Cricetulus griseus: one gene and its partner. The protein of the gene in region 1 interacts with the protein of each later gene in a biochemical or structural test. Links are inferred from orthologs where the notes say so. Each region holds a gene or a part of one and is shown on either strand. Other genes may lie near its edges.

Region 1 (3,824 bases):
CATGTCTGGGAACCATGAACTTATGACTCAGACAAAGGAGTGACATCCCACAGTCATAAACAGTTCTGCCAATTTCTAGCTGTGATCTGCGACAGCTTATTTTGCCTCCAGAAACCTCAGTGACATTAAGGCAGTGGTTCTCAACCTTCCTACCGAGGCAACCATTTAATTTAATACAATTCCTCATGTTGTGGCGCACCCCCCACCCCCAACAACCATAAAATTACTTTATTCCTACTTCAAAACTGTACTGTTATAAATTGTAATGTAAATATCTGAGGTGTAGGATATCTGATGGGAACAGAGTCTGTGTGGACCGTCCAGCGGCACAGGACATCCAGTCATCTCTCACTGTGTCTGATGAAGGACGGTGATGCTCGAATGTCATAGTCGTAGAACTAAAGTCTCTTTTCCCCCTCAGATCTAACTCATCAAGTGAAAAGCAGATCCTAATTTTACCTGTGAAGATCAGTTGACCCGTAGATAGAGTTACCCTCCATAGTACCTCACTGCTATTTAAGTCTGTATTTTTTGTATGACCCACCTGTTCATACCCCCTCCTAACCACTCCACTTTCCAGATGGGGAATTCAGGGCAGAAGAGAACAAAGGCCTTTCCACTTCCAGGAGAACTGCAAGTCAACTGAGGCATTACGACTACACTGTGACTACAGATCAGATCGTCTGTCCGTTGCACTGTGTTCCCCGATTTCATGCGTGCTTCTCTAAGTCTGTCACTTTCATATGTCACCCACCCACAGAAACACGCCTGAGGCATCTCTGAGAATATAAAATGCTATTAAGAAAATTCATCTTGTAAAGGAAAGCAGTTTGCTCCAGGTGGCTGTCACTGATGTCTTATTAGGTGTCAAGTGCTAATCTCATCTCTTCACTCATAAGCGCCTCTTCCTTAGTGTAGTGTCCCTGCTGTGTCATCATTGTTCTTTGACCGAAACAGGCATAAAGGCCCCAGTTTCTCAGACTGTGGGGTTTTGGTTTTTGTTTACAAATGATGTTCAGTCACTTTGATATTTATTTATTTATTTTGTGTGTGTTGGTGTTTTGCCTGCATGGATGTCTGGGTGAGGGTGTCATATCCCCTGGAACTGGAATTACATACAGTTTTGAACTGCCGTGTGGGTACTGAGAATTGAACCCGGGGCCTCTTAACCGCCGAGCCGTCTTTCTAGCCTGTCTCCAACTGTGGCTATTATGCTAGTATTCTAGGCTGCAGTAATCAAGAGGCATCAGATCCGAGAGTCTGAGGCACACAGAGCCTGATGTCTGCCTACGGAAGCTCTCTTGCTCAGTATCAGACCCTCCAAAAGTGCCAGGTGCACAGCCTGCAGACCGCCAGTATTATCAAAGTGGCTCTTTGGCTTCTTTTCCTTTTTAATTTCATCCTCGAAGACATTGACCTCTGGATTCTTTCTTTCTGTTATAGCTTCTGGTCACCCACACTGTTTCTTTTGCCACCTTGAACTTGGCTCTGACCGGGAAGTGCCTTCCAGATTTGCCAATTACGTAAACGTCGAGTTCAGCATGCCCACGACTTCTGCCTCCAAAGCAGCTGTGAGATCCATCTCCGTGGAAGACAAGCCTGGTGTGAGGAAGTGGGTCAATTATTCTGCACACTACAGCTACAAGGTAGCCTCAGGGGGCTCCGGGCTGATGTTTCCGAGTCCATTTGTTCATTCCATCCCTCCCCCTTCTTCCTTTAGCAAACGCTTCTCATATCAAGGAACTTTCCATTAATAGCCATGGATGAATCAGCTCTGACTTTAATGAAATAATCTCTCCTGGATAAGAGAAAGGTTTGGAAAGAAAGAATTAAGGGGCTGGTGACAGAGAAGAATATAATGTCTAACATCATGAGTAATATCAAAAAGAGCCGTGGGGCCAAGTAATAATTGTTACTCATATGTGGCATGCATAATCCGTGTTTTGGAGTGAACTTGGAAATGCAGGGGAGTATTGGGAATGTGATAAGCTGAAGTGAGTATTTCATCTACAGGAATCGTACATCAGAACACAGCAGAGGCGGGCACAGGGCAGTAAGAGTAAGGCTTAAAAGCCAAACCCTTTCACAGTGACAATGGGATGAGATGTCTTCAATCAATGCTGGAGAGCTGGTTTTCTTGGGGAAGGGAAGGGGGGACGTTGCAGACAGGGTCTCCCTCTGTAGCTCAGTCTGGTTCAAGTTCTGCTTTCCTGCCTCTGAGCACTCAGATGATAGGTAAATCGCTGTAAAAACAAGGACTTTTAGCACTTGTAGACTTCGGTAGAAGATCGACTTCCAAAGAGGGGAGAGAGAGAGTCATTAGGATTTTGCAAAGTTGTTTGATAATTTCCTATGTATAATGATTCCTGCAGATTTATGTAACGTATTATTCCTTTAAATATTTTCTTAGTTGTGTCATCTAAAACCTTTTAACTACCAAAAGTTACAAATTCCCCCATCTTGTGGCCAGGGAAAAACCTAGCACTCCCCACCTCACCCCATGTGGAGAAGCCTAATCTTCAATGCACGGCTGAGGACCAACTGGGATGATGAATTCCTTAGTTCAAACAGTCCCTTCCTGACTTATCAGAGGTTTTATTTACGGCGAGCTACTCTTTAAAAAGATTTGATTATTTATTTGTTCATTTATTTGATGTATGGGGGTGTTTTGTCTGCATGCATGTCTGTGTACCACATGTTTGCAGTGCCTGAGGAGGCCCTGGGACTGGAGTCACAGACACTGGTCAGCCACTGTGTAGGTGCTGAGAAGAGAGCCCAGGCCCTCCGGAAGAGTATCCAGTATTAACCACTGAGCTGTCTCTCTACCCAAGGCCTGTGACTTTCAAAGGGCAACTTCTTAATAGTATTTTGCAGAAGACGGGCTAGACTAGTAAATGCTCTGATACTTACTAGCTTAGAGATTTAAAAGAAATGAAGTAGTTGGAGGAGCTTAAGTGGTCAATTACAAAAGGCTTTCTTTATTCATTCCATAAACTCGGCAGTTGCCTACTGGATTTCTACACCATTGGGCAAAATGAACTAGATCTTGCTGCTATCCCATGGAGCCTATGGAATAGTGGAGCCAGGGACACCAGAACTATTCAGAGGAAACCCAGTCTCCCTACTGAGGAGCAAAGATAATATCTGAGCAATTCTGAAAGAATAAGAGTTCCCTGGGACAAGTGCACAAGCAATGATGTGCAGAGCATAGCAACTTCCCTGGGAGTTGTGGTCCTAGGGACTATGGGCCATAACAACCAGTTGACCAATCAACACAGGGCAAGTCCTCCAAGCCTGGAGGCACACCAATCCTGAGCCTGTGCGTATGTCTAGACACTCCCCTTATGCTGTCCTATAAGATCTTTGTCCCGGGGTTTCTCGGGGTCTTTTCCCAGCCATCCGCCATAATGGATGGATGAAAGGCCCGAGCTAATGGGGTTAGTTCGTTAAACAACTGCAATAAAGCCTCTTGCTGTTTGCTTAAAGTTAATTAATTAATTAATTAATTAATTAAGGAGTTCCCTAGGACCACAAAGAAGAGGGAATTCCACACCTTAAAGGGGATCATGGTATACTCAGGACTAGTGGTTCCATTATGGCAGCAGCCCAGAACAGCCACAAAATTCCAGGCAATCCCAGGAACCTTCTGAGGCCCTTTTGGCTCATTTGTTTTTGTGCTTTTCCTCTGCCTCTTATTCCTGATGTGTTCTCCATCTTTTATTTCGGCAGGTGGAAATTGAACAAAAAAAGAGTTTGAAGCCAGACTTTGAGGGAGAGGAGCTGGACAACCCAAAGGAATGTGGGGTACAGTGACAGTGGCCTCC
Region 2 (3,924 bases), on another chromosome or scaffold:
AAGTGAATCTCTGTGAGTTCGAGGCCAGCCTGATCTACAGAGCAAGTTCCAGGACAACCTCTAAAGCAATACAGAGAAACCCTGTCTCAAAAAATAAGTGGGAGTTTTAAGGCTTTAATTGTTTTATATTGTGATATTTATTATTACAAGATTTGGGGGATAAATGCAAAAGGAAAAGTTGTTGTCAATTAATGTTGTATTGGTGTGTTAAGTTAATAAGGGGTCAAGTGTCCTGGCTAGTTTTTATGTCAACTTAACACAAGCCAGAGTCATCTGAAAGGAGGGTACCTCAATTAAGAAAATGCCTCCATAAGATCCAGCTATGGGACAATTTCTATTAGTGATTGATGTGAGAGGGTTTAGCTCTTTGTGACTGGGGGACACCTCTGGGTTGGAAGTCCTGGGTTCTATAGGAAAGCAGGCTGAGCAAACCCTGAGGATAAAAACAGTAAGCAGCACTCCTTTATGGCCTCTTCAATGCTTCCTGCCTCTGGGTCCCTGCCCTGTTTGAGTTCCTGTCCTGACTTCCTTTGATGATGAACAGTGACGTGCAAGTGTAAGCCAAATAAACCCTTTCCTCCCTAGATTGCTTCTAGTCATGGTTTCATCATAGAAATAGTCACCCTGAGTAAGACAGAAAGCAAGGCTTATTTCTTCCCACTTTGTAAGGGTAGAATTGAGAGGGCAGATGTCTTTTTAAATTCACCTAGCTGGAGAGTAAGACCACAGTTACTGTCTTCACAATTCAAAGCCAAAATGTTTTCTTTTACAACCTTAGAATTAATTAGATTTTCTACTTCAAAGCTAAAGAAGCATTTAAAATGATTGAGTGAATTTGATAAAATAATTCAGTAAGATATTGAAGCTAGGTGAATTTAAATAATTAAGCAGACAAACCCTGTTTCTTTATCAGTATTTGATATATGGAGTCAATTATGCCACATTTACAGTGATCTAAATATACACCTAGCAGAACAAGTAAATTATTGATTAGAGTGTCACCTACAGTAAAGGTCAAAAAATGATGGGGGGGGGACTTATCCTTGATATCAGACTCAAGACATTTGCTGTATAATGTTTATGGTGTCCTAAGCTTTCAGTGTTATGCTATTACATATAGTTACTTTAAAAGTCACTAACATTTTGAATGTATGCAATCACTTAGCAACATTGCCAGCACTATTATCCATGATTTGTATTTTTTCTTTTAGTATAGTACAAGATGCTAAGAGTGTAGAACGTGGCTGTTGTCAACAGTTGTTCCCTGCACACTTTGGGAAGATATCATTAAAGTTAGATTTACACCGCAAAATGGGGCTTGTATACATAGCTAATCAGTTTGACAGCTTACATAGACTTTGTTGGGAGAGAATGCTATTCAGTAACTACATTTGATCTTAGCCTTCCCGGAAGGAGCTCTCCACTCACTGTGGTTCTGTAAATATTTCATGAGCCAACATAAAGTAATATGCTAATGACAGGCTTCTACCCAGTGAGCAGGTGTGGTGCAAGTAGTGTGTGTTCGTCTCGGGTACACCTGTTATATGGGGTCAGGCATGCCCTTCTGAGTTTGCTTTCTCTTTCTTCCCCCGTTAGTTTCACCTGAAGCAAAAATGGTGAGTGAGAGCCATCACGAGCGCCTGGCTGCCCCGCCAGTCACCACTGCTGCAACTGTTATCCCACATAATGCCACCGAGCCAGCCAGTCCTGGGGAAGGAAAGGAAGATGCCTTTTCAAAGCTGAAGGAGAAGTTTATGAATGAGCTGCATAAAATTCCATGTGAGTATCCTGTTTTCACTTGAATAAACAGAAAAGATTGAACAATCATTAGAATCAGTGGAACATCAGCAGGACTCAATGCGCTGTTTGTTCTTCATGGTGGTGTCATACGGTAGCACTCCAATGAGAAATGAAGTGATTTTGGAAATGGAATATGTTTTTTTTCTTTAACTGTGTTTTATAAATAATAGCATGGTTTATAACAAAATTTTGTGTGTTGTATTTAAGGTAGGTCCTTCATTTTCTGTCTCTCTGAGATAATAATGTCTGTATGTTGTGTCATATGGAGTTTAGATTTGTATCGATGGAATTGTTATGTAGGAAAGATTACAAGAGCTGATACATTTCCACTATTACAAGTTTGATTTTCTTTGCTTCATTAATATTTTTAAACTTGTTTTTCTTTCATTAATTTGTCAATATTCCAAACACTTTTGCCTACTTTTAATTTTTCATTTGTGAGTGAGGAACACAAAGCCTATAGATAAGCTTTAATTAAAGTAAACATTGCACAAATCTAATCAGTAGCATTTAGTTTTCAAAATTTTATTTGCATATTTACAAATATGTTTACTGTGTATAATACAGTAATTTGAATAAATACTATGAATTGACTAAGTCTTCCTAGCATATGTGCACTGCCTCACATGGAACCATTTTTTCTGAAAACATCCAACATTCATTGGTCTTAATCTAACTCAAGATGACTACAACCCATGTTGTGCACTAAATCTCTTGAACTTACTTTCCCATCCAAATCAAAGTATGCATCCTTTGACCATCTCACTGACTTGTTCATCAACATCCTAGCCCCAGGTCCTTTGACCTCCACATGTGCTCTGTGGCACATGTGAGCATGTACACACACAATATGTTCACAAGCACAGTAGTAATAATAACTAAAATAAAAATGAAGGTTACTATGGAGTATATTCTTAGTATTGTAAATGAGATGGTTTTCTTGGCTTATCTTTGAGATAGTTCATATAAATATTGCTGATCTTTGGATATTAATGTTGTATTCATTTAGCTTTACTGAGTTCATTAATTACTTCTAAAAGTTCTGTAATGGCATTTTTAGGTCTCCCTATATGATCATGTCATGTGCATACAAGGAAAATCTTTCTTCCTGCCCACTTTGAATGGCTTTCATTTGTTTTTCTTGCCCTATTATTCTGGTTAAGACCTGCCATACTAAGCCACATGAGAGTGTAAGGATGTCCTGGCTTTCTACATTTTAAAGGGGATATTTTTAAGTATTAACTCTGAGGCTGTCTTGTGTGCTCATTATCATATTGAAGTATAATTCTTCTATACCTAATTGGTTGACCATTTCTTATCCTGAAAGAATATTTGATTGTTTTTTAATTATTTTTCTTTTGAAATGACCATATAGCTTTATGCTTTATCCTATTAATGTGATCAATCATATTTAATCAATTACAAAGATTGAACTATCCTTGCCTCCCCGAAATTAATCCCAAACCATCATGGTGATTAGTCTTTTTTACATGCTACTTAACTCGGTTGTTCAGGAGAAGCCCTGAACACAGTTCCTATGGCCAGGAGTATTGATTGGCATATAGTGGTTTATTGTGGGTTTTTTGTTTGATTGGTTGCTTTGGACTTGGTTTTGGGTTTTGTTTTGTGGGTTTTGTTGGTGGTGGTGGTGTTTTTTTTTTTTTTTTGATTGTTTGTCTGGGGGGTTAGTTGGTTGGTTTTGGTTTTTCTTTTTATTTCTTTTATTATACGCTCCCTGGCTGTCATACCAGTGATGCTGGTCCCTTAAAATTGGTTCAGTAGTATTCCCTAACAAGACCAGCAGAAGTGAATCTGTGTAGCAGAAGACACAATATTTTATAGGGATCTGAGGATAACTTGGATGCGCCCAATGAAGTAATGTGTCTTTTAAGAAGAGAAGATAAGCTATTGGAATATTCCAGATGGAAGATAACATTTATAAAAATGTATCTGTAATATATTCTCATGCCTCAAAGATTTTAAATGTGTTGCTTTGTCCATACCATTCACAAATTCAAGTTCCTCTGAAGCATGCTCTAGCAGGGTTGTTGGTGATGGCCATTCTCCACAGGAAGCCCCATAAGGGAAGAGCTGGACATGGAGAGATGGTCCAGTAGCTCCAGC

Evidence for each region.
Region 2: the proteins of Ston2 (region 1) and Syt1 form a complex in vitro, tested with the Homo sapiens proteins (2 studies listed by BioGRID). The link is inferred for Cricetulus griseus from reciprocal best matches to the Homo sapiens genes STON2 and SYT1.

Annotation. Positions count from the first base shown.
Region 1 is NC_048598.1:113,268,040-113,271,863, forward strand, and holds part of Ston2 (stonin-2), read left to right. Parts: intron 1-1,443; coding exon 1,444-1,646; intron 1,647-3,729; coding exon 3,730-3,813; 3' UTR 3,814-3,824. UniProt on the Homo sapiens protein: Adapter protein involved in endocytic machinery. Involved in the synaptic vesicle recycling. May facilitate clathrin-coated vesicle uncoating.
Region 2 is NW_023276806.1:146,547,596-146,551,519, forward strand, and holds the start of Syt1 (synaptotagmin-1), read left to right. Parts: upstream 1-1,613; coding exon 1,614-1,779; intron 1,780-3,924. UniProt on the Homo sapiens protein: Calcium sensor that participates in triggering neurotransmitter release at the synapse. May have a regulatory role in the membrane interactions during trafficking of synaptic vesicles at the active zone of the synapse.